Cricetulus griseus: one gene and its partners. The protein of the gene in region 1 interacts with the protein of each later gene in a biochemical or structural test. Links are inferred from orthologs where the notes say so. Each region holds a gene or a part of one and is shown in the gene's direction. Other genes may lie near its edges. The genes, in order: Dlat, Pdk2 and Pdhb.

What was found.
Region 2: the proteins of Dlat (region 1) and Pdk2 form a complex in vitro, tested with the Homo sapiens proteins (2 studies listed by BioGRID). The link is inferred for Cricetulus griseus from reciprocal best matches to the Homo sapiens genes DLAT and PDK2.
Region 3: the proteins of Dlat (region 1) and Pdhb form a complex in vitro, tested with the Homo sapiens proteins (2 studies listed by BioGRID and IntAct, with this or other methods). The link is inferred for Cricetulus griseus from reciprocal best matches to the Homo sapiens genes DLAT and PDHB.

What each region holds. Positions count from the first base shown.
Region 1 is NC_048597.1:162,410,116-162,421,123, reverse strand, and holds part of Dlat (dihydrolipoyllysine-residue acetyltransferase component of pyruvate dehydrogenase complex, mitochondrial), read left to right. Parts: intron 1-2,099; coding exon 2,100-2,226; intron 2,227-4,768; coding exon 4,769-4,956; intron 4,957-6,108; coding exon 6,109-6,250; intron 6,251-11,008.
Region 2 is NC_048600.1:108,203,626-108,213,682, reverse strand, and holds the end of Pdk2 (pyruvate dehydrogenase kinase, isozyme 2), read left to right. Parts: intron 1-718; coding exon 719-790; intron 791-1,178; coding exon 1,179-1,363; intron 1,364-2,052; coding exon 2,053-2,142; intron 2,143-2,346; coding exon 2,347-2,424; intron 2,425-3,394; coding exon 3,395-3,471; intron 3,472-3,568; coding exon 3,569-3,667; intron 3,668-3,764; coding exon 3,765-3,872; intron 3,873-4,568; coding exon 4,569-4,682; intron 4,683-5,072; coding exon 5,073-5,213; 3' UTR 5,214-6,176; downstream 6,177-10,057. Other genes in the region: sterile alpha motif domain-containing protein 14, read right to left, coding at 7,820-7,975, 8,843-8,998, 9,079-9,198. UniProt on the Homo sapiens protein: Kinase that plays a key role in the regulation of glucose and fatty acid metabolism and homeostasis via phosphorylation of the pyruvate dehydrogenase subunits PDHA1 and PDHA2.
Region 3 is NW_023276807.1:76,089,844-76,100,951, reverse strand, and holds Pdhb (pyruvate dehydrogenase E1 component subunit beta, mitochondrial), read left to right. Parts: upstream 1-1,099; 5' UTR 1,100-1,184; coding exon 1,185-1,226; intron 1,227-1,298; coding exon 1,299-1,352; intron 1,353-3,054; coding exon 3,055-3,162; intron 3,163-3,255; coding exon 3,256-3,318; intron 3,319-3,408; coding exon 3,409-3,444; intron 3,445-3,735; coding exon 3,736-4,021; intron 4,022-4,384; coding exon 4,385-4,495; intron 4,496-4,928; coding exon 4,929-5,020; intron 5,021-6,176; coding exon 6,177-6,318; intron 6,319-6,730; coding exon 6,731-6,876; 3' UTR 6,877-7,643; downstream 7,644-11,108. Other genes in the region: Pxk (PX domain-containing protein kinase-like protein), read right to left, coding at 9,574-9,788. UniProt on the Homo sapiens protein: The pyruvate dehydrogenase complex catalyzes the overall conversion of pyruvate to acetyl-CoA and CO(2), and thereby links the glycolytic pathway to the tricarboxylic cycle.

The sequences.
Region 1 (11,008 bases):
GTCATTTAAAGAAAGAAGTATGGATTAAGTGTACAGAATAACATTATAACAAAGCTAGTGTCCGTAAATGTCCTTGCCATGAACTTAAATCAGCTTTTAATAAACTAAAACATGCTTCTTTTTAAAAGTAAATTTTCTTTCCTACACATAATCTAATTACAGTTTCCTGTCCCCCAACTCCCAGATCTCCCCACTTCACTACCCATCCAAACCCATACTTTTTCTCTCTCTTATTAGAAAAAAAACAGGCATCTAAAAAAGAATAATAATAAAATAAAAATAAACTAGAATAGGACAAAACAAACAAACATGAAAAAGCCAAAGAAAAATCACAAGAAACATAGACACCAAGATATACATACTGAATGAGTTTATTAGATACTAAGGTTTCCTCTGTATTTATGTGTTTTTTATGTAGGAAGTAGGTAAAATCTAAAGAATTAAGATTTAGCCTTTCTTTAACATTTTTGTTTTTATAATTTATGTATTTTTATTTTATGTATATTGGTGTTTTGCCTGTGTGTATGTTTGTGTGAGGATGTTGGATCCCCAGGAACAGGTGGTATAGACAGTTGTGAGCTGCCATGTGGGTGTTAGGAATTGAACCCCGGTGCTCTGAAGAGCAGCCAGTGCTTTTAACTGCTGAGCCATCTCTCCAGCCCCTTATGTTTGCTTTTTTAAGACAAGGTGTAGTTGGATTTTTCTTTGGGAGGACAGCGAACAAATAATGACATGAAGATTTACTATTAATTATGAAACCTCAGCTTTAGTTTAGGCTTGCCCCACCAGCTCTTATAACTTAAATTAACCCATTTATATTAATCTGTGTTCTGCCATGTGGTGTTACTTCATCTCTGTATTGTCCATCCCTCTTTCTCTGGCTGGTGACCCTGCCCTTCTTCCCAGACTTCTCTCTGCCTGGGAGTCCCACCTATACCTCCTGCATAGCTATAGGTTGTTCAGCTTTTTATTACACCAGTCACAGCGGTACATCTTCATAATAGTGTACAAATATCCCACAACAACAGGGTTTCTCTATAGCCCTGGTGGTGTGCCATCACCGCCCAGCCTAACTTTACTTAACTTTATAGGAAGTTATCTTCCTTCCTTCCTTCCTTCCTTCCTTCCTTCCTTCCTTCCTTCCTTCTTTTCTTTTCTGTTTTGTTTTTCGAGACAGAGTTTCTCTGTGGCTTTGGAGGCTATCTTGGAACTAACTCTTGTAGACCAGGCTGGTCTCGAACTCACAGAGATCCGCCTGGCTGAGTGATGGGAACAGATCTCAGGTTCTATGCAAGAGCAGCAAGTGCTCTTAACTGCTGAGTCATCTCTCTAGCCCTTAATTAAAAAAAAATAAAAATTCTTGTATCTAGTAAGTGTGAAATAAGTGTGGTCTCTTATGAGTGAAAAGATAAATAGATACTCATTGCAGAACACAGCAAATTCTACAGAGTGGTTTGTCTAGACCAAGATCATTCTGTGAAAATGAGAAGTATCCTTCGTAACCTAGAGCAGCAGTTCTCAACCTTGGGGTAGCTTAGTACATATCTTACATATCAGATATTTAGATTAAAATTCATAACACTAGCAGAATTTCAGTTATGAAGTAGCATGGAAATAATTTTATGGCTGGGAGTCACCACAACATGAAGAACTGTATTAAAGGGTTGCAGTGTTAGAAAGGTTGAGAACCCCTGTCCTAGTTGAAAAGAGACTTCGTATACACTGAGGAGCTCATTTTGACCATCTGAAAGAAATCCTTCTTACCTGCCTGTTGGTTTTAACTTCGGAGGATGGGTTGGGGTAACTGGTCAAGTATAATCACCCTTGTTCTGAAGGTGACTTAACTGGTGGAAAGCTTCTAGGCATAGATTCTTGCTGTGATGGGTAATTTGGTTTTGTGGTTGTGGTTTAATTTTGAGCCAATGTCTCACTGTGTAGTTCAGGTTGGTTTCAAACTCATGATCTTTCTCTTCTGCCTTTTGAGTGTTGAGATTACAGATTAATTCCACCAGAGCTGGGTGTGGCAGGGATTGAGTGACCCCAGAACTCTTTTTGTGTGCGGTGCTTCCTGGCTAACCGTGATGCCTTTGTTTCTGCAGGTACTTCTTCCTGCCCTCTCCCCCACCATGACTATGGGCACGGTCCAGAGATGGGAAAAGAAAGTGGGTGAGAAGCTCAGTGAAGGAGACTTACTGGCAGAGATAGAGACTGACAAGGCCACTATAGGTGAGAGTTCTTCAGTTCTTGGTCGTTGAGTGAGGAGGAGGATGGCCATCCTTTCCTGTACTGAGTGAGTGATAACATGAATTTTGTAATTCCTGGCATAATTTAAACAAAGTCATGCACAGTCACATATGTCAGTTCTAATCGATGTACTAATCTACAGTTCTAAGCTGTACTAATCGATGGAGGATATGTCAAGATTTTTTTCTTAGGCCAGGGTTTGCCATATTCTTATGATACTCAGAAGTTGTCCCAGAACTGCAATTGTCTAAACGTAGGAAGGAAGGGAGGGGGAAGGAAAAAAGTCCCCTGCCCCCCCCCCCCCAATCTGGGGCAAGAGAGTACCAAGGGATTTCCAATGATTGTGAGGAAAAACAGACCCCATGCCTGTCAGTCTTCACGTGTATCACATTCCCATGTTCCCCTTCTTTGATTTATTTTATTTTCAGAAACAAAATCCATTAAGCAGCTGTATATTTGTGCTTGTATTCATTGATAATCCTAGGCATTATGAACTTTTTGCCACTCATCCATAGTTTCTAGAAGCAAGAGGCCCACCCATGCCACAGAGTATGCATAGCAGGACCTAGGAGGCATGAGGAAGTAGAAGTCACGGACAGTGAGCGCTCTTTTCACCCCTGCCGTTCTTAAAGAAGCCCAGGGCAAGTGTGAACCAAAGAGTAAGACCCTCCCTCCCACCAGAGCAATTCCATCTTTCTTTTCACATACTACTTCCTCATAGTTTTAAAATGTGGATTTTTGTTGTTTGTTTGTTTGTTTGTTTTGAGATGAGACTGGCCTTTAATCTGCAGTCCTCCAGCCTCAGCCTCCAAGTTCAAGTGCTGGGATCACAGGCTTGTGCCTCACTGCCTGGTTCCCATAGCATTTATTAGAAGAAATGGTTCTGTCTTAAGAAAAAAAAAAAAGCAAAAGGCCAGCAAAATGGTTTGGTGTGGGTAAAGGTGCTTGCCAAACCTGAGATCAAAGGTTTGCACACCCTCTGCCCAGCTTTATTGAGTTGTCCCAGTTGGGAAATGGAAGGATTCATTAGAGATGTGTTCATCAAGGAGAACAGCAGAGAGCAAGATCCAGAAGGCAGAACTTGCCCTTTTCAGTAACTTAGTTTTGCTTTTTAAAATTTTTAGTTTAATTAATTGAGTTAATTTCTGAGACAGAGACTCACTCACCCTGGATGGCCTGGAACGCAGAGATCAGAGTGCTAGGATTAAAGGCATGCACCACCATGCCCTGCTGGTATTTCTTTACAGGGAACTCGTTGCTATGTAATCTAGTCTGGTCTTGAACTTTTGAGCTTACTATGTTGCTTGGGTTATCTTTGAGCTTGACATCCTCTATTTCAGCCTCCTGGTGGTGGGGTCACAAAAAAAACAGCCCCCCACCCAGCTTAAAGTTTCACTTTTATAAATCTAAGTGTTTGAGAAAAATAGTAGCTGAATGGCATATTAAGTGTTGTTGCAGGGACCCCAGTGTTGCTGTATTTCCTCACATTGGAATATCTAGCATAATGTCAAGTTCAGTCTTTGAGAAGCTCTGAGAACACGTTTAGTGCTAAAATCCCACGCTGCTGTCCTGCTTGGTAATTCTGGTAACTCAACTTCCGTGGAACTGACTTTCAGCAGTGCATCTGATACCATCTTAGAATCCTGTGAGTTCCACATAAGGACTGCCCTGAGGTGTTTTCAGTAACTCTCATAAGGAACCGCTGTCTGCAGCTCTGGTAGGACAGTACAGTTATCTCAGTATCCACAAGGGATCGTAATGCTCCAGAAAAGTCATCCCTATATGCTCAGCACAGGTGCAATTCTTTCCCAAATTATTTTGGCCTCAGGATTTGGAGAGCTGACTGCATTGTTTTGTTTACTCTGTTCCAGGGACTGTTCCTAAGTTCTTAAATAACATTGATTTAAATCATTTAAACCATAACATTTGCATGAGGATGATATAGTCAGTCATTTCTTGGTATATGTGTAGTCAAACTGATTCAAGGATGGAAGTCTATAGACTGGAGTTCCCTGTATAAGTGGATACAGTATTTGGGGGGCAGGGTGGGGGTCACTGGGATTGAACCCAAGGCCTTGAGCAAATTAATAGGACCTCTATTACTGAGCTATGCCTCTATTCAAGTATACTTTTAATCATTCCCAGTTACTTGTAATGCCTAATACAACAGTGCTGTGTGAGTAGTTGTTACACTGTATTACTTAGGAAACAGTTGCAAGACTAAAAAGTGTATGTGCTAAGTTCAGATCTCCATTGGCTAACTACATAGTACAATGTAACATTTGACCTACAGTTGAATGAATTTAGGGATGCAGAATCTGTGGACAGAAGTTGACTATACTATTCCTGGTTCCATGTTCCCGTGTTAAAGACTTGAAACAGGGACACAGAGAGGTTAAGCAGCTTGTAAAAATAAAACCGAACCAATGCCAGTAGTGTGAATGTGAAAAAAACCTTTTACCTGAAACTCTGGTGAATCTGTAAGAACGTCTTGAGTACCATAATATTTTCCTTTCTTCTTAAGGCTTTGAAGTACAAGAAGAAGGTTATCTGGCAAAAATCCTGGTCGCTGAAGGCACAAGGGATGTTCCCCTGGGAACCCCACTTTGTATCATAGTAGAAAAACAGGAAGATATAGCAGCCTTTGCAGACTACAGGCCAACGGAAGTGACCAGCTTGAAGCCACAAGCACCACCACCTGTCCCAACCCCGGTAGGTATGCTTCTGAACTGGAACATTATCCTTTCAGACAGATGATAGCCCAGGCTCCTGTGTGTCCAGATCCTACAAGCAGGAAAGTGCCCAGCATCTCCTATTAACCTGCGGTGTATAGCATGTGCCGTCCACCTGATGGTCAGTAGTTTGCCTCCATCTTGAGTCCTGTAAGAACAAAACCGAGTTACATATTCTTCTGCTTTCAGTGTGAAGGTCATGCCCACGGGAGGTGATGCTCTCACTCTACATTTTCTGTTGCTTTATTAAATACCTGTTGTTATTTTCAGTTCTGGTATTTGTGTATTTTTTTGTAGCTGATGAACGTGTGTTTTGGACTTGGGATCCTGATCTGACGTGACGTGTAGTAGCATCATACACTCGTGCTCTTCAGCATACACCTCTGAGGGTTTAAAAAGGTGTACCTTTCCTCAGCCGAAGCTTGACTCCTCACTGACTTATTTTGATGGGGATGTTGTCAGGAAACAGTGTAGTCCATTCCTTAAGACACTCGAAACATGGGACCTGGTGGTATCATTTTATATCCTGAAGTGAGGTTAAATAAAGGCAGACATGAGGTTAGTTATACTCTGAAAATAATGAAGTAGAAGAAGCTAGGTGTGTGGTGGTTCCAATACTTGGAGAGGCTGAGGCAGTAGGATCACCATGGGTTACAAAGTCTCAAAGTGGGGAAAATGACAGGTGACAAGGATGTTATACACAGGTCTGATGTGTTTATCTAATTATTCTTTATTAATAAAGAATCGGGAGTCAGAAATCGGGGTAAGAACCTGAAAGATCAGAGAGGCAGCATAGCAGACACCAGTCATCTCCTATCTCTTCCGTTCCTCCATCCAAAAGGCTGAGATCCTCTCCCAGGCCCACCTGTCCTCAGCCCTCCAAAACCTCTATGGTTAATGGTTTTGGTCAGCTAGTGGCTAGCTCCACCCTCTGACACACAACACTGGTTAGTTTAATTCCATACCTCTCCTGATATTGAGACTTGTGTGTTAGTCCAACCAGAAAAATGCATTATGTTCTTAGGGGACGAAAGTTACTAATTACAAAGACTTTTACTGTATAAAATATGAACCTGTGTTCTTTCAGATTATCTTTGCAGTAATGAGTGGATACTTTTAACTTTTTTCCAAGGTGGCAGCTGCTCCTCCCACTGCCCAGCCTCTAGCACCTACACCCTCAGCCCTTCCTGCTGGACCAAAGGGAAGGGTGTTTGTTAGCCCTCTTGCAAAGAAGTTGGCAGCAGAGAGAGGGATTGACCTCACCCAAGTTAAAGGTAAGTTTCTTTCTAAAGAAAGGAGTTACAAAGTTAAAGTTTAGCTGTCCATAAGTTTAGTTAAATGCTGTCCATAAGACCAACACATACAACTGTGTGGAACATAGATATCTTTGTTCCTTCATGGAGCAGGGAAATCATTGTATTTTATGTGATCTGTCTAGTGTTGCCTATGTAATTTGTGTGCCTTTAAAAATGTTCCTGTATTTAGAGGAAATCTTTAAAAGCAGTGCTGAGAAAAGGAAACTTCCCTCCACATTTGTCCTCAGAACTCTGAGGAGCTCCTTTAATCTTTCAGGGACCACAACTCAGGGAAGCTCTGGTTTTGTGGATTTGGTACAGAAAAGAATTTCAGGACTTGTCAGAATGAAGCTGAGTTGGTTTTAGTAAAAGTAGAAAGGCATTCACAAGCTGGTTGTGGTGGTACCCACCTTTAATACTAGCACTTGGAGGCAGATGCAGGTGGATCTCTCATTTTGATGCTAGCCTGGTTTACAGAGAAAGTTTCTAGAAAGCCAGGACTGCACAGAGAAACTGTCTCAAAAAATCAAGAACAACAATGAGAGAGATGAGGGAGGGAGGAAGAGAGAGAAAGAGAAGGAAGGGTGCTCATAAAATAATGAAAGAATGGTGTAGTTTATTAAAAGATATTTTAATGAAGATTTTTAAAGCATGAGGGTTAAGAGAAATAATAATATATACCCAAGTATAGGTATGGGCTTTTTAAGGGAGAGTCATAGTAGGTCAGACATACCCAAGTGTAAATGTGAGTCCACAAGGGAGAGTTGTAATTAAATGTCCTACCATTAGCCATGTGTACCACTTTTGTAGCTCTTTTCCCTCCCTCCTTCCCTTGGTAATAAGATTATGGGGTGGCTCTGAAGGTGCAGTGGATGTGATAAGGAAAAACCAGGAGTGCAAGGGTTTTAGTGTTGGTCTACTGTGGATAGGGTTTCTGATGAGCTTCCTAGAATATTTCTGGTTTAGCTTTGGGAAGTAGGAAAGGCCTTCAGCAAATGTTAATTGCTGGAATCCTTGCTTCTCAGCTGGTGAGGGGCTACTTTTATTTCTCCTGTCCCCCTATTTCTCCCTGTCTTACTTAATTGTTGGCAAAAGCATATGTGTTTGTTGAGCAATATTAAGTTTTAAGACTTGCTGTGTGATAAATCTCAGTGCTACGGTGACTGAGTGTAGCAATACAGGGCTGGTGAGATGGCTCATCAGATAAAATGCTGCTGATGACCTGAGTACTGCCCCTGGAACCCACATGATAGAAACAGAACTGACTCCTATGTACAGTGTGTCACCTGGGGGTTGAACTCAGGTCATCAGTGTTGGCAGCAGCAGCCTAACACATTGAGCCTTCTCAACAGCCAATTCTTTCTTTTCCTTTTTTTTTTTTTTTCATTTTATACTGAGTGAGGGTTGAACCTAGGATCTCATTCATAGTAGACAAGCATTGTAACAAGTATATTCTTAGCCCCTCTCTTTACTTTTATTTTGAGATATCGTCTCAGAATAAAAACCTTGCCCAGGCTGCCCTGTCTTCAGCCTCTTGAGTAGTTAGGCTCACGGGCCTGACCCACCAGGTCCTATTTTAAATTCTGTATTCTTCCCAATACCCTGTGCTGCCTGTCCCTGCTCTACCATCCATAGTCACTGAAGAAAACTACAATTATGTCCTCTGATCTGCAGCTGTGTGCACTCGGTCTGATTCTCACCCACTACCAAGCTGCCGTTTTTTGTTGGAGGTCAAACTGATCTGAAAACAAAGCATCAGTTTTGCCATTCTTTATACATTTTTGCTTAGTATTGAAGACAAGTTTAAGGCATTTCAAAGAGCAGAGGGGCTGTGTTAATAACTGCCTGAAGAACTGGACTGGTAGGGTCATTTGTTGAAGAGTTAGCAGCACTGGTTATTTTACTAGAGGGATAAATTGAAGTATCCCAGTATTGTTTTCATGCAGGCAGGGTTAATCAGTCCCTTTATTATTAGCTAAGCAGATACACACAGAGTGCCATCTGTGTGTATAAGATGGAAAAACGTTCTGACTTCACTGGCCAGCAGTGGAGGATGAGTGAGCAGAAGTGTACTGGAGTGAAGAGTGGGATCCAGAGCTGACTGCTCAGGTTTAAATGTCAGCTCTGCCGTATGCTAGCACTGTGACCTTTCCTGACTCTGTAACTTGTATATAAAAATAATACTTAATAAGTTGTGAAGATTAGTAAGTAAAGAGTGCTTGTGCACAGAAAACATGTTAGCTCTCCTGGTTCTAAATTTCCATTGTGATCTGAGATGATGTAAGAGCTAAAAAGGAACAGACTCAATGATAAACCTGTCTATGAGTGACAGTGACAGGACAGGGTGGCTCTGTGAGGAGGCTCTTTCCAAGGAGGAATCACCTGTGAGCCAGCCATGTGAGGTACTGAAGAAAAGCTTTTTGGCAGAGGTTGGTATGTCAGCAGCACATGGTCTGGAATCATACAAACCTTGACATGCCTGAGGAACATAACAGAACATGTAGAGTGAAGGGGAGAGGAGAAGATAAGGGTGAGAAGAATTAAAAGCAGCTGGGTCTGATAGATCGCACACACCTGTAATCTAGCTGGGCAGAATCAGACAGAAGGAAGGATCTGCTGGTCTGGTTGTTCAGGGCCTCCTGGGCTACAGGCGAGCTAACCACTGAGGCAGCTGGGGCTTAAGTACAGTGGTAGAGCACTTGCCTAGCATTGTGTGAATGCTAGCATTCACACGGCACAAAAATATCTTCAGTTGTTTCCAGGGTACCCTGGGAAGCAAAATGCCCTCCTTGAGAATCTGGTCCATTAGAAACATTTGGGGTGACATAGGGCAGAATGATTTGGCAGAAAACAGAATTCTTTAGAATATAAAAGGATTAGCCTTTAAGATTATGGATGGTTGGTTTGGTGGTAGGAAATAAGAATCCCTCCCTGCTATGGTCTGTTCTATAATTTAAGGTTATCTGATTATCTTGGGAAGTGAGTCTGGGAAGGGTGGGCTTGGAGAGATTATAGAGCAGTCTTCTAGGGCTGGGGACAATGGAAAGGAGACAGTTGGGTTCTGGGAAGCTTCTGGGCTTCTGTCTTAGCTTTTCAGTTCTAAACTGAGTTAGTCAGCCAAGTCTGTGCTTTCTATTCCAAGCAACATTGCTTAATGAGAAGATAAGCAGGTTCTAGAGTTTTGCAAGGGAATGAATGATTCTAACAGTAGTCTGAAGAATGTGATTTGGGCAAAGGAAGGAAGGAAAGTACAGGGACTAATGGCAGCAGGAAGGTCAGGGCTAGTGAAAGTGGAAGGAGTCGGAGTGTCCTTCATTTTACTTAGTTTTTTTTGTACTAAGAATTGAACTAGGCTTTTGTGCCTGTGAAGCAAGTTCTGCACCACTGAGTAGAGAGGGGATGAGGTTGATAAGACTTTGCAGTGGAGGGTGGGAGTGGCCAAGGCCCAGTGAGCTCAAGATCCATGATTGTGTGGTATTCCTAGCACCAAGTATTTGGAGTTTTTCCATATAACCACCAACTGAGTGTCCAACAGTTCAGTCCAGTTCTGACATGAGACTATGGAGTAAGACCGCTCAGATTGCTTTTAAGTACCCAGGGCCACCTGCTTGTGTAACTCATTAACAGAGAATTAAGGATTGCCAATTCTCCTTGGGTTTGATAATTAGCTAAAATGACTGATAGACCTTATTTATATACTATTATTAATCTATTGTAGAGAGTACAGCTCGGACATAGCCAATGGAAGAGATGAATAGGACGTAGTATAGTGGGGAGGGATGCAAACAGCACCCATGTGTTCTCTGGGCTTGCCATCCTTCCAGCACATGGCTGTCCTCACCAACTAGGAAGCCCACTGGTTCTCACCATTCAAAGCAATATTTTCAGAGGGGTGTCGTCATAAAGACACCGTTGACAAAATCATAGGCCAGTGTTCATTGAACTCAGCTCCCAGTCCCTCTCCCCTTAGTGCAATTAGTGCAGGAAGCAGAAGAGTTGGAGGAGGAGATGGGGAGGGAGAATAGAAAGAAGATTTAAACTTCTATCACCCTTTAATCAAGTGTTTGGTCTTACTAGTCCTTATCCAGAAGTCCTGTCCTCAGTGACCTCATTACTATAAACTGGTGTGTTGTAAAGAAGCTTGATTAAAAAAAACACTTATTTTTGAGCAAATTGGAAAGCTTTTGGAAGGTGCATGGCAAGAGCTTGGAACAAAGACCATACATATCTATTTTTCTCATACCCCAGTGCTTGCAAAGAGAAGATTGTTTTTGTTATGGATTTCAGGGATTTAAGCTAGTTTATTTATTCAATATTGGGGCTAAAGGGCATGTGCCAGCGCTAAGGCATATATATGTGTGGAGTTTAGGACAATTTTATGAATTTGGTTCTTTCCTTTATGTGAGTTCTGAGGATTGAACTCTCTGGTCATTAGATGTGTATGTCAAGCACCTTTTCCCATGGGCCATCTCACCAGCCACCAAGAGATGTTTAAGAACTGGAAATAACATGATCTGGGATTTGACTTTAGAAGCTAGGAGCATGGGGCTCTTGTTTGTGGGAAGAAAATGTAGTTTGGTAGATGAAAGAACTCAGAAGTCTGGGTAATGGGTGGATTGTCATCCCCAAGAAAAACGAGTAGCCATGAAATTTAATGAATAGGACTAATTATGATTAGGAGATGAGAGACGGTAGGTTGTATGTCTAGATTCCTGGAGATTCAGAGGGAGTTGAAGA
Region 2 (10,057 bases), on another chromosome or scaffold:
AGGCTGGGCATATGCTCGGTGGGACAAGGGGTCAGTGGTACCACACTGGCACCATCTATTGCCACAGGCAGACCAACATTACATGTAAAAGCTCAATACACTGGCTCTGCTTTGTTTTCTAACCTTTCCTAGTTGGAGAGGAGATCCTGCCCCTCTGGCCAAGCCTATAGGTGGAACAGACAGCAGGGCCCACTCACAACCACCCTGCTCATTGCAGGGCAGAGTGAGCCTCCCTGGCCCTACCTATGTGCTAGCCACACATACTGACCTTTATAAACTGGGGTTCCCTAGGCAGGTTCCAGATCACTGTGGGAGAGGCCCTGGGAGAAGCTAGCCTGCCAGCTGCCTTCATAGTCCACTTATGGGAGCTTTAGCCCCTTGTGGGAGGTGTCTATAACATTGCTCAACAAGGCAGGTAGATGTCTGAGTCCTCTGTTACTGTGGTCTTTGGTACAGTTGGGCCTCAGTCCACTGTTCTATCCTCTAAGAGGGGGTAATTTCTGGTCCCTCCTAAGGTTGCTGCTATAGGATTCTGAAGCAAAGAATCTGCTGTGAGAGCACTAGCAGATTTGGGGTTTCCTTGTACAACTTACTACGTTGTCAGGGAGACCTAGAGCCAATAAAATGGGGTGTTGATTGTCAGCGGGTTCAGCTCTCTGCATCTGAGGGTGTGGGAGGGAGCATCGTGTAGTCTCAGCTGGCCCCTTCTCTCACACAGGTATGTCCAGAGTCTGCTGGACATCATGGAATTCCTGGACAAGGATCCAGAGGATCACCGGACACTAAGCCAGTGAGTGAGCACCCTCTTCAGGGACAAGAAGGCAAGGGTATCTCAGTCAGGGCCCCAAGGATGGAATGCCAGCTGGGTGCAGGGGATAAAGGGGGAGACAGGCTATTTCTGGGAAATCCTGGTCAGAGGGGAGAGATGCAGAGTCCAATTATCAGTACCCTGCCCTCAGAAACAGACTTTCAGAGGGACTGGGAGCTTTAGCGGTAAGCAGGAAGATGGATGGGCAGCTGGAGAATAAGGGTGGGCTTACGGTGAGTGAGCACCGTGTCTCCGTGGGGCTGGGGAGGATAGAGAAAATTGGGGAACTGAAAGGAAGTTGGAATAAAGAGAATCAGGGGTACCCCCAAGCCTGAGACTGGGTAGGGACAGATGACTGCATTCTCGGAAGGTTCACCGATGCCCTGGTCACCATCCGGAACCGGCACAATGACGTAGTGCCCACCATGGCACAGGGAGTGCTGGAGTACAAGGACACCTATGGCGATGACCCGGTGTCCAACCAGAACATTCAGTACTTCTTGGACCGCTTCTACCTCAGCCGGATCTCCATCCGCATGCTCATCAACCAGCACAGTGAGCTCTGGCTGCCTCGGAGAGGGAGGGCAAGGGGTCCTGGTAGGGCATGCCAGGAAGGGGCACCACCCCTGACAGGGAAGGAAGCAGGGCTCCCCACTTCAGCCACTGTGCCCAGAGGCCCAAGTACCATTCAGGAACTGAAGAGTTACTGGCTTAAGTCAGGTGTGGGAAGCACATGCCTTCAATCCCAGCACCTGGGATGCTGAGACAGGAGGATTATATGTTTGACGCCAAGCTTACCTACATGGTGAGACTTTGTTAAAAAAAATTAAAATAAGTAAATAAATATAAGCCAGACAGTGATGGCCCATGCCTTTAATCCCAGCACTCGGGAGGCAGAGACAGGCGGACCTCTGTGAGTTCGAGGCCAGCCTGGTCTACAGAGCGATTGCCAGGATAGGCTCCAAAGCTACACAGAGAAACCCTGTCTCGAAAAAACAAAATAAAAAATAGATAAATAAATAAATAAGTACATGTAGCAGGGCGTGGTGTGGGAGACGCCTATGGAGGAGTGTTGCGGGATGCGGAGTCCTGGGGAGGCCTGAACTAGGGGGAAGACAGGACTTGGGGGCATGATTAGCATGGAGTGTACAGAGGCTTACAGATAAGTGAAGGGCAGGACGTTTAGAAAGACAGAGGGCTAGGTCCTGTGAACTAATCAACAGTGCCCTTCTCTCTGCCCACAGCCCTCATCTTTGATGGAAGTACCAACCCAGCTCACCCCAAACACATTGGCAGCATTGACCCTAACTGCAGCGTGTCTGATGTGGTAAAAGGTGAGCCCCCACCATAGGCCTGGCCCAAAAAGGAGCTCCAGAGACCCCTCCCTCCCAGATAACCTGGCCAGAGGATGACCCATTCCCAGTGGATGGTGGTGGTGGGGGACGGGCATGTCCCCATGGGTTTCATGTTGGTGATGCCCAATGTCAGTGCATGCCGGGTCAGCCACCCATAACCTGAGTGGTTCCCTCTCCTCTCAGATGCCTATGACATGGCCAAGCTCCTGTGTGACAAATACTACATGGCTTCACCTGATCTAGAGATCCAGGAAGTTAATGGTAAGCAAATGAGGGTGTGTGTGTGTGTGTGTGTGTGTGTGTGTGTGTGTGTGTGTGTGTGTGTGTGTGTGTGCTCGCATATACTTAGTGTGCATGTGTTTCAGAGCAATGGGGACAGACCAGAGTAGGGGAGCTGGAGGGCCAGGCTCCCCTAGAGGGGAGCCATTGTAAATTATTAATTTATTGGAAAACTGCTTATTATTTAGCACTTGCATCATGTAAAAAAGATAGGCAAGCTCTTGCCCTCACAGAGCTGACATTCTTGGTGCTGGGGCGGTTGGGAACTGTAACAGTTAACCACTGAACATGTAATTTCAGAGCCTCGTAGGTGACAGGCTGATGTCATTGTCCTTATAAGTGAACATAGTGAGTAAGTAAAGGACATGATGTGGGTGGGGCCAGAGGACAAAGGCCAGGGAGAGTGATGTGAACAGGGACACCTCCCCAGAATGCAGTGGCTTAATTAAGAGATGCCTTTGGACCGGGCATTGGTGGCGCACGCCTTTAATCCCAGCACTCGGGAGGCAGAGGCAGGAAGAGCTCTGTGAGTTCGAGGCCAGCCTGGTCTTCAGAGCGAATGCCAGGATAGACTCCAAAGCTACACAGAGAAACCCTGTCTCGGAAAGAGAGAGAGAGAGAGAGAGAGAGAGAGAGAGAGAGAGAGAGAGAGAGAGAGAGATGCTTTTGGGTGGCCAGCCCCAGGTGGAGTGGTCAGAGCCAGTACTCGCTCCCCAGGGAGCTGAGAATATCAGAGTGAACTTGTACTGTCCAAGTATTACTAGCTATGGCAGCTTGGAAGGCACACAGCCTCACGCTAGGGGAAGAGGAAGGGAGGGAGGGAGGGAGAGAGGGAAGGAGGGAGGGAGAGAGGGAGGGCTGGCTGCTCTGAAGGAACAAGGGCTGCAGGGTCACACCCGCACCGTAGATAGGATTGTGGAAGGTTACCTTGCTGTGCTCTTGACTTCCACAGCCACCAATGCCAACCAGCCCATTCACATGGTCTACGTCCCCTCCCACCTCTACCACATGCTCTTTGAGCTCTTCAAGGTAAGAAGGCTGCCCTTCTCAGGAGGCTGGGAGGGTCAGCCCTCGGCCCTCAACCTTAGCAGCGCTTCCCTTACTGTGTCCTTCATACTTTCCCCAGAATGCCATGCGGGCCACGGTGGAGAGCCACGAGTCCAGCCTCACCCTCCCTCCTATCAAGATTATGGTAGCCTTGGGTGAAGAAGATCTGTCCATCAAAGTATGTGACCCTTGACCTGACCATGGGAGGTCATGGGGATTAGGGTGAGGAGTGAAGATAACCCTGGAAGGCATCTCACATGTCCCTTGTCTCCCAGATGAGTGACCGAGGTGGGGGTGTCCCCTTGAGGAAGATTGAGAGGCTCTTCAGCTACATGTACTCCACAGCCCCCACACCCCAGCCTGGCACTGGGGGTACCCCACTGGTAAGATGACTTCTTCCAGTCTCCCTGTCTCCTGCTTTCTTAACTCCCAAGCATACTCCACATCCCCCACCCCCGCAGTGGTTGTGTGGTGACAGCCTCCTGCTGCTAATAGCTCCTTCCTGCTGATCATCTGCCCATGGCTTAGCTGTCGCTTGTCCGCATTGCTCTCTCTTCCCTCTTTCTCTGCTGCATTGCTCATTTGCTGGCACCTTTGTCCCACCTCCCATGGACTAGGCAGTCCTGTGCTTACAGAATGGGCTCTAGCTGGGCGGTGGTGGCGCACACCTTTAATCCCAGCACTCGGGAGGCAGAGGCAGGGGGATCTCTGTGAGTTTGAGACCAGCCTGGTCTACAAGAGCTAGTTCCAGGACAGTCTCCAAAGCCACAGAGAAACCCTGTCTCAAAACACAAACACACACACACACACACAAAAAAAAAAAAAGAAAAAGAAAAAGAAAGAAAGAAAGAAAGAAGAAAAAATATCGGAATGGGCTCTAAGGAGCTCATGGGGCTCTAAGGAGCTCATGGGTAGAGCTCCCCTGTCCAGCTTTCCTCCCCGCTTTCTCTGCAATTCCCTTGCCTACCACCTACTCTCATCTGCTCCAGGAATTCCCTTCTCCACCCCTGCTCCAGCACTCCTGCCTGTCCCTAGTCAGGCATCCCTGGCTCACTTTATGACCTGTGGCTTGTCTGCAGGCTGGCTTTGGGTATGGACTCCCCATTTCCCGCCTCTACGCCAAGTACTTCCAAGGAGACTTGCAGCTCTTCTCTATGGAGGGCTTTGGGACAGATGCTGTCATATATCTCAAGGTGAGGCCCACTGGGGGCAAGTTTGCTGCTAGCAGGTTTCTACCAATCCCTCATCCTGGCTCCAGACTCAGAGCTGAGCCTTGGTTCCTCAAGTGCTGTAACTTGGCCTTTCATTGAGAGGGAATGCCTTGGTGATTAATAGAGGCCACCCAGCCCAACCTTCCCCCTCTCTTCTTTTTACCTCCCTGACTTTTGAGGGAACAGCTTTCTGGAATGGACCAGAGAAAGATACAGAAGGTTCAGACCCTTTTAGGGGTTTTTGTGGGTCTGGTTATGGGGCTGACTTGGACATGGGTTAGGATACTAGGGGTGGAGAGCATCAGGGCCCAGTGGGAAGGGGTAGTGTGCTGAGGATTGGGAAAGAAGGAAACTGATGGCAGTGCTCCCTAGGCCCTGTCCACGGACTCAGTGGAGCGTCTGCCTGTCTACAACAAGTCTGCCTGGCGCCACTACCAGACCATCCAGGAGGCCGGTGACTGGTGTGTGCCCAGCACGGAGCCCAAGAACACATCCACGTATCGGGTCAGCTAGGGGCCTTCTCTCCCTGGCACCTGGGAGGATGCTGCCACCTCTGAATCCAGCCACCACAGGGACCTTCCCTATCCCCTGGGGTACAGAGGGTGAAGCTGGGTCTCCCTAATGGCCAGGTCTGTCTTTGTAGAAATCTCAGTGACCCATCTGTGGTGGTCTCTAAGTGCCAATCTGTCTCTACAGAGAAACCTAGGGAGTTTCTGTGGAGCCTGGTCTCCATGGTGATGCTTGAGGGTTGGGGATGGCTGTATCTGATGGGGTACCCCAGAGACACTTCTCCACGGCAGTTCTCACAAGACCAGAGCTGTCAATTTTCTACCAGAGACCCTGGGTCCCCGTCACTGCCTGCATAGTCCTGGCCTTCCGAGTGGCTGCCCTGCTTGCCTTATTCCCACACCCTGTACAGGTATACTGGGCTGTGTCCTTTGTTGATGTTAAGAAGGGTGGAGTGCCCTCAGGTCTGGAGAAAAGATGGAGAGAGAGGGTGCACCCTTGACCCTGGTCCTGCAGCCTTTCTCTGTCAATACCCTGGACATTAAGGTTGCAACTGGGAACTTGAGATGAGAGTGGGAAGTCATTCTTACCCAAGGCCCACTTCTAAAGTAGCGGCACCTGGGAAGGCTGAGAAGTAACCTGCCCCACCAGGACTCCAAGACGATCGATCAATCTTGGCAATGTTTGTGCCACTTCCTAAACCCTGGTCCAGCATGTCCTCACATGTGCACTCCCCTGCCGAGTGTACACCCCCCCCATCCTGCCTGAGCTTTAGACCCCACCCCACCCCACCCCCGTGCTCACAACGTGTGCACAGGTGACTCATCCCTAGAACATTCTATGTACATAGCCAGTTTTGTAATTTCAATGCCTCACCCTTCCCCTCAGCACACAGGGGTTAAAGCCGTGTGCCCCTCCCAGTGGCTGGGATGGTGACAGTGACATCCACAGTAAATAGATGAAATGAGACTGGTGACTGGCTGCCTTGCTGGGGGAGGGTGAGTCCACACATGAACACTTGTGAAGACTGGTCCTCTAGGACTAACTGTACTCAGGAACTGGCCTAGCTAGCAACCAGAGCATACCACAAGGCAGGGCCATCCACTGAGAACACCTGGCAGCCCACTGGCCAGTGGTATGCAAGCCATAGCTTAGTCCCTCATCCCAAACAGAAAGATCATTGGTGTATGGTAAATATTTATTGAAAGAAGTTGAGAACCATATTCCCCCTTCACATGCAGGTGGGGCACACTCGGCTCCTGACAGCTTTCGGGACAGTAGGGCCTCCACCCTCCCCACCCAGTCTAGATAGTGCCAATGCCCCTATACCTTAGTTTCCCTCTGAAGCCCCTCTCCCAGTGCAATGGCTGAGCCCAAGCACAGGGTCCTGGCCATCAGCCACTTCATCAGGCAGGAGAGAGGGAGTTAGCATGCAGGTCCTATCCACCCCTCTGGGAAGCTGGGAGGGGTGGGGGGTTTCTTCTCAGAAACCTCCTGGGCCCAGTAGTCACTGACCAGCACCTGAGAAGCTGGGTCAGCATGGCATCTGGACCCTCTGTCTCTGAAAGTACCCTACAAAGGACATATGCCAGACCTACCCAGGGCTGACCCAGTCCTCCCTGTAGCCTAGCAAACCTGAGCCAGCAATGTTTGTCAGCTCTAGGCTCACTGAGGCCTTGACACACCCAAGGGGCCTAGGGAGCTGATGAACCCTTCTGATCCAGCAGCTTCCAGGCCACCCTCAGATTGTGCCTCTGCCCGGCTAGTGTGATGAGAGTCACCAGTTCAGTGCCACCGAGGCACTAGTGTGTGTGTGTGTGTGTGTGTGTGTGTGTGTGTGTGTGTGTGTGTGTCCTATGTCCCCATCAGCTCCCATTTATCCTGACCCCAAAGAAGCCTCAAGCACTCTCTGAAGAAGTCGATTCTAGCTCTGCAAAAGGTCAAAGACCCACCCACTCCTGACTCAGTGGGAGAGGAGCAGTGTCATCCTGCCTGCTGGGACCTGCAGGCTAGTGAAGAGGAGAGAGAAAGAGTCCCCTTCTCCCCGCTCTGCAGTCCTTACAGAGGCTAGCTTACCCTCCACCGCTCGCTCTTCTCTCCTTTGAGGAGGTGTCTGGGAATCTACCCTGAGTGTTGCTACTACAGTGCCCACTGGCCTCTCTGGGGAGAGCTGCTCTCCTACCACACAGCCACCTTCAAGAGCTGAGGAGACACAGCTCTGTCTCCTGTTGGGATGCCCAGGCTGCTCTCTAAGCCTAAGGATTCTGGTCATGGTAGGGCCTCTCTTGCTAGCTCACTTCCTCTTCAGTACCACTCTAGCCAGAGGGAAGAGGTTCAGCCTGGACCGGGCTCCTCTGGGTTCCAGATTTGCTGCATTCCTGGCCTCTTCATCTGCCACCTGCTTCCCCCCCGGAAATCTGTGCCAAACAAGTCCTCGAAGTTGGGTTTATTACTGGGCCCTCTCCGTGGGATCCTCCAGAGGATTCGGTCCAAACAGGGTGAGAGGGGTCATATGCCCCAAAGAACCTGGTACCTAGACCCTACTTCCCTGGTGAGGCCCCTGCAGGTGGCTGCAAGTGCTCTGGGGTGCCAGCCCCCCCGGCCAGCCATCCCTAGCTCTTCTTAGCCTCATGCTCTCGGCGTCGCAGCTTCTCGCGCTGCCGTGCAGTCTTCTCCTGCGCCTTCCGTTCCTTCTCAGCAGCCGCTGCCAGCTCCTTCAACTTCCGCTTCACCAGTGCCCGGTCATGCGAGTTGCTAAGCCCCAGGCTCTGGAATAAACCCAGGGTGAAGGAAAGAAGCCCAGAACACTCCTCCCATGGACTCCCTGCAGACCCCTGGAGTCTGCTCTGAAGTATGGCCTTTGCCTAGGGATTGGACCTCAAGGGAAGAGGAATGGTTTGCAAGTGGTCATAGAGAGGACAATTGGCACTAAGCCATTTGTGCCCCATCCTTGGCTCCAGATCCTCAGCCTCGGTGCCATGACTGTGCCCAACCTCCTGAGGTCCTTCAGATGGAGAGTGATTTGTTCAAGGTCACACTGCTAGGTGGCAAGGTCTCTCCCACTTGAAGATTTCCTATGGTCCTTCAAACCCAGGAACCTACCATCAGGCTCTGAGACTAAATATGGCATGGAGCTGGCCAGAAAAGAGGCCTGGCTACCCAAAGGGCAAGGTCAACCTGAACACCCAGGCTGGTGCTAGAAGGTCAAATGGAGACAGATAATGGGCTTAAATTTCTTTTTTTTTTTCTTTTTCTTTCTTTCTTTCTTTTTTTTTTTTTTTTCGAGACAGGGTTTCTCTGTGTAGCTTTGGAGCCTATCCTGGCACTCGCTCTGGAGACCAGGCTGGCCTCGAACTCACAGAGATCCGCCTGCCTCTGTCTACCGAGTGCTGGGATTAAAGGCGTGCGCCACCAATGCCTGGCTCATGGGCTTAAATTTCAAGTCAGATTAGGGAGTCAAACTACATTGCAAAGATTAGAGCAGACCCTTGCATAGAGGTCAGAAGCCAGGTCAGTGGCTAGACAGGGAGAGGAAACCCCAGATCAGTCCAGGAGACAAGTCAGAGCCATGAGTCAGGACAAAGGGGGTCCTTATCCTTGCAAGCTACCCCAGTCTGGCCAGCCTTGCACTCTACCTTCAGTTTGCTTCCATCCAGCTGCAGGAGCTGTGGCCCATCCACCTGTCGGGCAGCAAACTCAGCAGCATACTGTTCCAGGTTGAGGCTGCACAGCCACTGGCCCACCTGCTGGCTGGTCCAGTGTTGTATGGTAGGGAGGGACTCGTCCAGGAACTGTGGTAGAGATGGGGAGAGTAAAGGAAGCCCAACCTGTGGCCAGGTCCCCAGCAGGCACAAAGACTAGCCTGGCTCACCTCATCTGAAGACTGGGACAACGTGTGGTAGGGATAGGAGCACTTGGTCTCCTGTCGAGGACCACCGGGGATCTTGGGGCTGCTGCTGGGAGGTGTGGAGTCATCACTCAGGGTGGATTCCTAGACAGAAAGGATGTGTGCTGAGGAGCAAGTTCATCCCCCCAAACCCGAGCCCATCACCTTGACCAGATGGAGCTAAATGCTGGACTAGACACCATTAGTTGTTCCATGCTCCTGGTCATGAACCCAGAACTTAAGTGACACATCAGAACCTGAGATCTCTAGGAGGGAGCTGGCTACCCAGAGGCTAGCACTAGGTGAGCAGAGGAATTAACAGGAGTGGAGGGACTAGGTGCTGCTGCCTTCAGGTAGCCCTCCAGGATTCCCCCAAGGCTGGGTCATTTGTCCCTGTTTCATGGAGTCCCTCTCCTTGGCCTCTTGCATAGTGGCTGGAGGATACCCTCATTGGCCTTGGATCTTTGTGAGGACTTGGGCTGTAGTCTCACTCAGCATGGGTGTCCCCTAGGACCAGTGCAAAGGAAAGATGGGAGCAACTGAGGAAGGATGTAGGGTGGTTAAAGACCAAAGCTGCACATCAGAAGGGTCTCTTCCCCGAACCCCCGGATTTCTGAATCTCCTAAGCCCTGGCACCATACACATTTGTGTACATCTGTGAGCAAGTCCCTTTTCTCTGGACCTCATTTGCTCATCTGTGCAGTGCAGATAATGCCTGCCCTGCCTACATCACAGTTAAAGCAACACATGAATCCTGAGCTTTGGAAGATATAGTGGTCTGTAAGGAGACTTTAGTGTTGGTTGTGTTGCTGGTTCTCGTTTCCTAGGGTCTGAAGCTTCCAGAGCACCAGGTAGGAGTCCCGATCATCTCTCTCTCTCTCTCTCTCTCTCTCTCTCTCTCTCTCTCTCTAAAACTTCCTACCATGCAGGTGGCTAGCTCTTGATGGTGAGGTCCAGACCTGAC
Region 3 (11,108 bases), on another chromosome or scaffold:
GCATAGCCAGAGGCAGAGACACCTGGGAGAGTTCAGAGTGGACGTGACCAGGCTGAGCTGAGCCATGTGAGGAGAGGAGGGGAAATGGGAGCCAGGTGTTTCAGTAAGGTAAAAAAGGGCCGGTAATCAAAATGTCTGGATTATATAGGAAAGAGCCTCTGGGGGTTAGGGCACCTCAGACCTTGGGCTGGAAAGTTCAGGGTACAGGGTAGGGTATGCCAGACATACAAGTCATTCCAAGGAACTGAAGGATGCTGGGAGGACCTGGCAGCCAGGCCCACTTTGATATGTTAAATAGGCGAACCACGGGCCGTTTGTCTCACATTTGAGTCGTAGGTTTGCCATCTAAATTCAGCATGATCAGAACAATTTCCTCACATCTTCATGCCTAAGTGCAGATAAAAATAACAGCAACCACCTACAATCACTTATGAAGTACACATCACAATGCTTGGCACACAGTGGACGCAAGGCTTACATGAAAGCTATTGTTTATAGTCAATGGACCGCGCCCATCCATACAAAGGCGAGGGCTCTCCTCCCAGATGTCTCAGCCTCTGGTTATGCTCTCCCATATATCTGTATAATAAACTTTCTCCTTCACCGTACCGAGGAGCCGTCATGTCCATGCCTTTCCTTTTTATTTAGTTCTCCTCCACGGGACTGTGGGCAAGAGCCACCCACGCGGTACTCAAGGCCCGCAGTGTCTGCGGAGGGGTGGCCTTAAGGCCCCTCCATCCTCGGTCAGGCCTCATTGCCAGTCTCAGCACCTGGGCGGGCAGGCAGGCAGCAGCCAGGGGCGTGTGCACCGCGTGCTAGCAGCTGCAGCCGGCTGTCTGCTAAACGTTCTCGGGTGCGTGCGCCGGGTCAGAAAAGATCAGCTGCTCCACGCCACCTCCGCCGGCTCCCGCCTGCCCAGGTGGGCGGGACTCGCACACGTCGCCCCCTCTCGTTGGCCACGCTCGCAGAGGCCTTTGCTAGCCCGAGGGGCGGGACCCTTTGGCATTGCGCCTTGCTATTGGCTTGCTCAGGAGGGCCGGGCCCTCAGTCGTCACTCTCCATTGGCTTCGGCTGACGGGTTAGGGCGGGCCCTGAGCTCGCCACGCCCCACCGTTGGTTGCGCCAGGCCCGGTCTGCGGAGCTTCTGTGTTGTCATTAGGCCGCCAGTAGAGGACACGGGCAAGATGGCGACGCTGGCCGGCGTGCTGCGGGGACCCTGGCGGCAGGTAGGTGGCGGCCCCCGCACGCCCGCGGCAGGCCCCGGGCCCTCCCTGAACCTCTTTCTCTCTCCCGGCCAGGTGTCTGGACTTGTGAAGCGGCGTTTTCACCGCTCGGCGCCCGCGGCACTGCAGGTAACCGTCTCCGACCCTGAGCAAGGCCGGGAGGGAGTCCTCGGTCCTGGGCGCGGGCGGGAGGTGGAAGGGTGGCGTCGCCGACCCTGGCAGCGGCTGAGCCCTGCGAATGAACCGCACTTTGTGTCCCCGCCCGGCGCCTCTCAAGCTGACACCCGTCCCCCGCGAGGCCGGAGGTCGTCTAACAAGCAGCCAGCGCTTTCCCTGACCCCCCCCCCACACACACACACACATACACCCGAAGTTGTGGTAAAAATACAACTTTAAAACCTTTGGTTAAGCCGGGCGTTGGTGGCGTATGCCTTTAACCCCAGTTCTCGGGAGGCAGAGGCAGGTGGATCTCTGTGAGTTCGAGACCAGCCTGATCTACAAGAGCTAGTTCCAGGACAGGCTCCAAAACAATACAGGGAAAACCTGTCTCGAAAAACCGAAAAAGAAAAAAAACAAAAACAAAAACAACAACAAAAAGAAAAAACCTTAGGTTAAAATGTCAAGTTCAGCGGCATCGACTGCGGTCGTCATATACACTGTCCATTTCTTAGTAGTTTTTTTGATTACCGGCTGTTACACGATAACTCACACTACTCTGCTATTCTAGACCATTTTGTATTTTTCTTGCTCAGGAAGGCCGGACCCTTAGTCCTTAGTTTGCTGGCTCTAGAATGTTATATGAGTTGGATCGTTTGCTCTTTTGTGTCTGGCTTATTTAACTTCTCACAGTAGCTTCAAGGTTCATCCATATTGTGAAATTCATACATCAGAATTTGTTCCTTTGAGAGGTTGAGTCATAGCCTTTGCACATCGTATACATTTATTCAAGGATGAGTATTTGGCTTGTTCCCACCTTTTGGGTTTGTAATGGTGCTGAGAACATCGGCTGCAGATACATGCTTGAGTCCCTGCTTTCAGTTCTTTGGCATAAGTATATTTAGAAGTGGAGGACTTAACCTTTCTACATATTAAAGCAGCAGCTCCTGCATTGTGGATGTCAAGTGTTGGGCACTAGTGAGTGCTTAATGCTTAGACTTAGATTTCCTTGCTAGTTCTCTGCCTCTTAGTATTCCAAGTGTAGTGACAGAAACAACTTAGCATGTTTTCTCCTTAGGAAACTGCCTGTGACACAGTTTAGGGTTCCATCAGTGTGTTGTTGTTGCCTGGGTGTGCATCAAATGGTACAACCAGTGTTCTGTAAGTTTTCATTAACATCTAGTGAAGGATTAGTGGTAGAGTGTTACTTTTTAAGTTCTTGGAAGTTTAATTTGACTTTTTTGTTGTTGTTTGTTTTCGAGACAGGGTTTCTCTTTGTAGCTTTGGCTCCTATCCTGGTAGTCGCTCTGGAGACGAGGCTGGCCTCGAACTCACATAGATCCGCCTGACTCTGCCTCCCGAGTGCTGGGATTAAAGGCGTGCGCCACCAACGCCTGGCTTGGAATTTTAATTTGTATGATACGCATTTATCTATGCACTTGAGGTCAACTTCCAGGGAATCAGTTTCCTCCTTCCATAATGTGTGACTGGGATCAAACTCATCAGACTTGGCCATCTTGCCTCCTCAGATTCTTGGAACTTTAAAGGGAATTGCCTGCTTGAGTGTTAATTATGTTTTGTCTTGTGGGCAGCCTAGGTAAGTATAAGGAAGGGAATTTCCATAGTATCTAAATAATCCTTTAGCTTATTTCCTGTTTATATACCCCTATGCCAGTTGACAGTTCGAGAAGCTATTAATCAAGGTATGGATGAAGAACTAGAAAGAGATGAAAAGGTATTTCTGCTTGGTGAAGAAGTTGCCCAGTATGATGGTGCATATAAGGTAACTGAAATAGGTAAACTTGATATAGAATTAAAAAGTACCCATTTGCCCTGATAAGCACTTGTAAGTCATGGGGTTAAATTCTAATTGTAGGTTAGCAGAGGCCTATGGAAAAAATACGGTGACAAGAGGATCATAGATACTCCCATATCAGAGGTACGCTTTCCAGACCAGCTTTGAGAATCGAGTTGAGTATTCAGTTTTAATTTCTGTGGATGTTTTCTTACGTTGCTGTTTGCTTTACAGATGGGCTTTGCTGGAATTGCTGTTGGTGCAGCTATGGTATGTACTATTATTTATGAAGGTCATCTAAGGAGATTTCCTTTAATACTATCTTCTGAAAATGTTGTTTGAGCTGGACATGGTGGCACTCACCTTTAACCTAACCCCAGCACTTGGGAAGCAGAGGATAGCCAGGACTACATAGAGAAATCCTGTTTTAAAAAACCAACAAAAAAAAAAAAAAGAAAAAGAAAGAAAATATTGTTTGTAATACTGGAAAAGTGGAGTGGTTATTCAGCACTCTTGCTTGTTCTGTTTAGTCTTTTTAACATTGATGTTTCTACTTGACAGGCTGGGTTGCGGCCTATCTGTGAATTTATGACCTTCAACTTCTCTATGCAAGCCATTGACCAGGTTATAAACTCAGCTGCTAAGACTTACTACATGTCTGCTGGCCTCCAGCCTGTGCCCATAGTATTCAGGGGGCCCAATGGTGCCTCAGCAGGTGTAGCTGCTCAGCACTCACAATGCTTTGCTGCATGGTATGGGCACTGCCCAGGTTTAAAAGTGGTCAGCCCCTGGAATTCCGAGGATGCAAAAGGACTTATTAAATCGGCCATTCGTGATGATAATCCAGGTCAGCATAATAACATTAAAAACTGACATGAACTCTTGCATATGAGGATCAAGGCATCTAGTGAGATGTAGCACAGCATATGAAAAGTGCTAATGACTTATAGACAGTAAAAAGTATGCTATTCCTTCTCACTGTAAGGTGCTGGTTACTTACTGTGCACCCACACCCATTAACCTTAGCATATACAATTATATTGATCAAACTGCATGTGTCAGCATGGAACCCATCCTAAAGCTTCTAGACTGAAAGAGACAAGACTTCTTAGTGTTCAGAAGATTAATGATTTCATTGTATATGCATTTCTAGTCATTTTGTCTGTAGTATTTTTTGTTTATTTATTTGAGAACTTATAATGTCTTGCAGTGGTGATGCTAGAGAATGAACTAATGTATGGAGTTGCATTTGAACTTCCTACAGAAGCTCAGTCAAAAGATTTTCTGATTCCTATAGGAAAAGCCAAAATTGAAAGGCAAGGTAAGAATCCTTAGTATACATTAACCATTATTTTTACTGTAGCTCTTGTGTTTGCATATGTCAGAAGTTACTGCCTTGTAATTTGACTTAAAAAGTAAAGGATAAATGAGCTCAAGTTAGGCTTTGCTGAATCCCGTCTGTCTGGTACATGTTTCTTTCTTTCTTTTTTTTTTTTCCAGACAGGGTTTCTCTGTGTAGCTTTGGAGCCTATCCTGGCACTCACTCTGGAGACCAGGCTGTCCTCGAACTCACAGAGATCCGCCTGCCTCTGCCTCCCGAGTGCTGTACATATATATTTCATGTCCAGGAATACAACCTCATTGTTTAGCTCACTGAAATAAGGTGAAGGTTTGATAAGAGCTATAGCTGGCTGCAGAATCACCAGTGCTACATTAGTTCCATTGACCTCTAATCTGTGACCACTGTATTTCAGGGACACACATCACTGTAGTTGCCCATTCAAGACCAGTGGGCCACTGCCTAGAAGCTGCAGCAGTACTGTCTAAGGAGGGAATTGAATGTGAGGTAAGTGGACAGACACACACACACACACACACACACACACACACTGGGTCTTTTAATAACTTCTCAAGACACACACACACACACACACACACACACACACACACACACACACACACACACACACACACACACTGGGTCTTTTAATAACCTTCTCAAGATCCAGTCTTGCTGGTCTGGGGAGATAGCTTGCTAAGCAAGCATGAGGACCAGAGTTTGGATCCATCCCAGCACTCAAAAAGAAACAAAAACCAAACAATCCAAGCATGACAGCATGAGCTTGTTATCCCAGCCCTGGGGAAGCATTGCTAGGAGGATGTCTGGTGCTTGCTAGCCTTGCCAGCCAGTCTAACCAATTAGTTAGCTCCAGATTCACTCTTTCTTTCTTTCTTTTTTTTTTTTTATAAAGATTATACAGTGTTCTGCCTGCATGTATGCCTGCAAGACAGAAGAGGGCACTAGATCTCATAAGGGATGGTTTGAGCCACCATGTGGTAGCTGGGAATTGAACTCAGGACCTCTGAAAGAGCAGCCAGTGCTCTTAACCTCTGAGCCATCTCTCCAGCCCAAAAGAGCAATTGCACAAGAAACCTGAGGTCATCCTCTGACTCCTCACATGTGTGTACATACACAATCACATATCACAAGATCCAGTCTTAGAGCTGGACTTCAAAAGTAACCGAATCTGCGTAGAATCTACCAAGTAGTTCTCCTTGGAAAGTGTTTCATAAGCTATAAAATGAGGATAATAGAACTTCTACTCCATGGGGTATGATGGTGTAGGGCCTGGTGTACACTAAGCACTCAACTATTTTGATAGATGGTGAAACCAAGGAGGGTGAGCAAAGCTTCCTGTGATGGGAGTACAGCTTTCTATTTTATGAGTTCATTTACTTTTTAAGACAAGGTCTTGTGTATAGCCTACATTGTCCTCAAACATGATCATCCTGCCTCAGCCTCCCAAGTGTCAGGATTACAAGTCTGCACTACTATACTGTTTTTCCTTTTAGTCTCTGATTGTGTACCCATTGATAGGTGGGTTCAATTTCCTAGATCCAGAGATTAGCAAAAACAAAAAGAGGGATGTTTTGGGGTCAAGGCTGTATTTGTCTTTTGGATCCTATAAAGCCTATTTACCTAATTACTGCATTGTCTTTAGGTGATAAATTTGCGTACTATCAGACCAATGGACATTGAAGCCATAGAAGCCAGTGTCATGAAGACAAATCACCTTGTAACTGTGGAAGGAGGCTGGCCACAGTTTGGAGTGGGAGCTGAGATTTGTGCCAGAATCATGGAAGGTATTTCAAAGAAACTTATTCTAGGATACATCAAGCTGCAGTAAACAGCATACTTGAAAAGATCAAGCTAGGGGTGACCAAATGACTTTTTTTTTTTTTTTTTTTTTTGAGACAGGGTTTCTCTGTGGCTTTGGAGGCTGTCTTAGAACTAGCTCTTGTAGACCAGGCTGGCCTCAAACTCTCAGAGATCCACCTGCCTCTGCTTCCCAAGTGCTGGGATTAAAAAGGCATGTGCTACCACCATCTGTCGACTGAACAACTTTCAATTTGTCAGTCTAGGGTTTTTGTCTTCAGGTAAATGTTTGAGGAAGTCAAGTCAAAAGAGTGCCCTATAACTAGGGTTCATTGATTACCTTGTTTTCTCTTCCCGAGTCCCAAATCAGCCTCTCAAGGTGAGCCTTCTCTTCCCCAGGCCCTGCATTCAATTTCCTTGATGCTCCTGCTGTTCGTGTCACTGGTGCTGATGTCCCTATGCCTTATGCAAAGATCCTAGAAGACAACTCCATACCTCAGGTCAAAGACATCATATTTGCAGTAAAGAAGACACTGAATGTCTAATTTGGACTTTGAATATCAAGTCATTGAAATTTATTTAAAATACTTATTGGGACTTCATCTGATGTGTACTGAGAAACTTTCCTAGTTATAAAGTCAATGCTAAAGCAGCAGCAGGTGTCTCTGTACTGATAAGAAGCTTAAATATGCTTATGAGTGGAAAACTCCACTTCCCGCGGTAGATGCTATACTTTCTTTGTCTGTTACGGTTGGTCTAGTCTTTGAGTAAGATTAATATAAATATTTTCCCTCTTTTACTACAAGGGGCAAGAATGTTGCAGAGTCCTGATGAAAGATATACCCCCAGAAGATACATGTTTAAAAAGTATATTATCTACATTTGCTTTAAGTTGTTTTGATAAGGAATAAAGGGGATTTCTACCTATGAGTAATCATGCGCCCGCACCCCCCCAAGGTTTCTCTATGAACAGTTCTGGCTGTCTGGGTACTCACTTTGTAGACCAGGCTGGCCTCAAACAGAGATCTGCTTGCCTCTGCCTCCCAAATGTTGGGATTAAAGGCATGTGCTCAGCTGACACCACTGTTGTAATCCAGGCAAACCTGGTCCTGCCTCTCACTCACCTGCACATGGCAGGTGTATACACCCTGGATCTTTAAACTTCACCTACTTCCATTCTCTTTCCTGCTGTTTCCCGTGGGGCAGAAAGGACTTTTGCTGTCCCTCTTCTCTTCTGTCCTCTCTCTCTTTACCTCTTTTCTCCCCCACCCCCTTCCTTCCCTTTCTAATAAAACTTCTCATTTAAGCTGTCTGCCTGGCGTGTGTGTCCCTCCGCCCCAGTCACCCTCGCCTGCCATGGGATTCGCCAAGGTTCTCCTCCTGCTTTATCATAACCACCACCCGGGGAATAACTATTATTATATTAGTGAAATAATGGATGTGGAAGTCTTGGAGTACTATTAAGAAATTTGTGTTAAATGGAAAATAACTTGATATACTGTATAAAGCCTCCTTAGTTTTTGGAAGGATTTCACTGTATTTCCTGGCTGGCCCAGAGCTATTTAGACCAGGATCTCCTAGAGATCCACCTGCCTCTGCCTCCCAAGAGCTGCCACCCCACCTGGCCCTCATTGAAAGTGTTTTTGTTTTTGTCTTTACATTTCCAGGACCATAAGCATGTTAGCCGAGTGCTCTACCACACCCCCAGACCCTATTTGCTTTTATTCATATATCTGAAACTACCCAAAACTGAAAAACCTGAAAGCAGAAGCGCTGGGATCCAGGTTTCCATCAGTGGTCACTAGTCAACACAGCACTTATACAGCCTCACAATTCATTTATTTCCTTTTTTGTTTTTTTGAGGCAGGTCCCATTGGCTTCAGATTCATTAATTAGTAGAGGATGATGACCTTGAGATTTTAACTACCTACCTCCACCTCCCAAGTGCTATAGACACAGCACCATGCTTAGTTGATACAGTGCTATATAAGCACTGTGCCAACTGACTTACATCCCCAGCACAGTATCTTTTGAAATGAAAAAGGTTGATGTCAGGTGCTTCTCACAGTGCCAAAACCAGATATGTCATATATGAGCCTTTTTAGAACTTGGTGGAAAGGATTGGTTTAAACAAGTTATGAAAGCATACACTGATGGTTTCTACATAATGAGGGTTATTAGCAATTACAAAGGAGGTAAGGTGACAGAAGGAGGGAGTATACTTTGAGATTACATTTCTTCACAAAATATACTGTAGAAGTTCTCATCTGAAATATCTAGCAAAGTCACAACATTTTCTTCACATGATTTATTTTAATACAAAATACAGCTGAGTATGTATCACAGATTACAATACTATATACAATGACATTCTTTCTGCATAGTAACCAACACTGATGTGTGTATTTGAATTTTAAAATGGATTTTTTTAATAATCCTTTAAAGTGCAACTTATTTAAAGGTTTAAGCAAATCACAGAATGAAAGATTTCTAATATCTGAGTAACATCAAAAAAGATGCTGAAGTTGGATAAATCAAATCAGAAGTGATCACCATAGATGCCAGATTCACTTGTAATGCTGACTCTCCCTCTACAAATGCTGAGGAGTAAGACAATACCTTAACTGGCAGGAGCTTTTTCTGTGGTTAATGTTTTTGTTTGTTTTGGTACATTCTAACTTAAGAAAACTATGAATCCAGCGTGACTGTTCTCAGCCACAGTGAGATTCCCTCTGTCCTGTGAAAGAGAATGAAGAGAGCTCTTGCTTCTCTGCCTCAGCAGTGTGACAGCCTTGGTTACAGTGTTAGTGTCTGAGGTGAACTACCTAAGAAACCAGAGAAGCTTCAGAGGAGTGAGCTAGGAGAACACTTCTGATAGAGTAGGAGGGACAGCCATAGACCAGTCACTGCTGTGACAGAATATTGCCACTGCTTTTGTCTTTGTCATTTTCCTTTAGCTGGTGAAAATAATGATTCCCATATGCTGCTGTTCCTAAAGGAAGCTCATCAGAGTCACACGAAGGAGCAAAATGTTAAGGCAGCAGTGCTGGCCCCATTTATTTATTTGGAGAGCATTTTCATCTTGAAGACTCTTACTGAAGCAAGACTGGCTGTACTGGCTCTGCAAGGACTCACCCCAGGAAGGGACTTGTTGGGGGCTATGTAAGGACTCACCTAGGAAGAGGGACTTAGGTGGGAGTGGAACAGCCAAGAGCTTGCCCTCCCAGTGTAAACAAGAAACGTCAGCCAATCTTAGGAGCACTGTGATCACAGGTTTTGGCTTTCTTCAAAGTTCCCTTTTGGAAATTCTGGATGGAGCTGAGCAAGGCCCCACGGTTCACGCCATTCATATCCTGGGGCAGTAGCGGGACAGGCATCTCTGTGCCTGAGGTTGTTGAGGGACCTGCTGGTGGAGGCGGAGGTGGTGGTGGAGGTGGAGGTAATGCAGAAGACAGCCCTGTAGAGGAAAACGGAGGTCAGTGCTCACCATTCCACCTGCCCTGCATGCTACTGCATGTGGAGCTCAGAGGACAAGGTGTGGCAGAGTCAGTTCTACCATGCAGGTCCTAGAGACTACTCAGGTTGTTAAGGCTTCAGGGGCCTGCACCTTTACCTGTGGAGCCATCTAGCCAGTCCCTAAATTTCGTTTTGTTGTTAAAGTTTTGTTCTTCCTTTAAATCACTAGGTAAACTGTTGTTTCCAAAGTAGTGAAACATCACTGCCATACTAATGTGTGTCAGTTATGAACATTGTGGTCTTCTAAGACCCTACTTATCTGTTATTACCACACTGCTATGAGCAGCAGGAATAACAGGCAAGACACCTTGTCCACAAATAGAGATGAAGGATGAATGGCTCAAGGTCACCAATAAAATACTCAGTTATCTCCTTTCCACTAAGCAATGGCCAAAGTCTTGCAATTCACAAAACCCACTTACCTTCTTTTATACCTTTACCCCAACCCAAGGCAGCTGAAATTAAAGAATCACACAGATGCAAACTCATGCTCTACAAGCATGGAATTCTCAATGATAGCATAGCAATACGTAAAGATTAAATACAGACAAATGAATACAACGTAATTTACATTGGTTTTGCTCAACGATGAATGAAATTCAATTAGCTTTTATGTAGGATGGATTGTGGAAGACATTCCTGGCTTTCCATTACAGGGTTATAATGGGCAGTAACCTTTAAGTGACTACTGAGGTACGAAGCCCAGGTGGAGTAAGGGTAGATGCATTGCACTTGAGGCATTTGAGTAATGACAGTGAAATGCTAGAGTGCGGGAGGGCTCTCTTGAAGCTCTGGAAACTGAGTCTCTCCACTGACAGCATGCAGCCACAGGAATAAGCTCTGCCCATGTGGGATAAATAGCTATTGATAACCCACACATTAGGTACTATCCTAATGGCCAGAGAAGGGCAGTAGAAAATAGGAGTTTCAGGGTCAGTTTTGTGCCCAGACTCCTAGCTGAAGAATCACTGCAGGATTAAGGCTCAAAAGATAGGTTTGGAATGCAACAGCACTGGGGACTACTGCATGCCTGAAACTGACCATCCTGAGACTGGCTGCCCTACAGTCTAGGGTTTAGGAAGGCTAGAGAAAGCCCTAGAGGCTTGAATTCATGAGTATGGGTAGTAGCCTTGACAGCTTGTTTTCAGAGAACTAACCCCTTGACTCTGGCCTCACAACCTCACATGTACTTCCAGAGTTTAGGAAACGATGAGCCTGAAACTATCCCTAAGTGAAAGCTAGAGGTTGGTTGTATCAATAT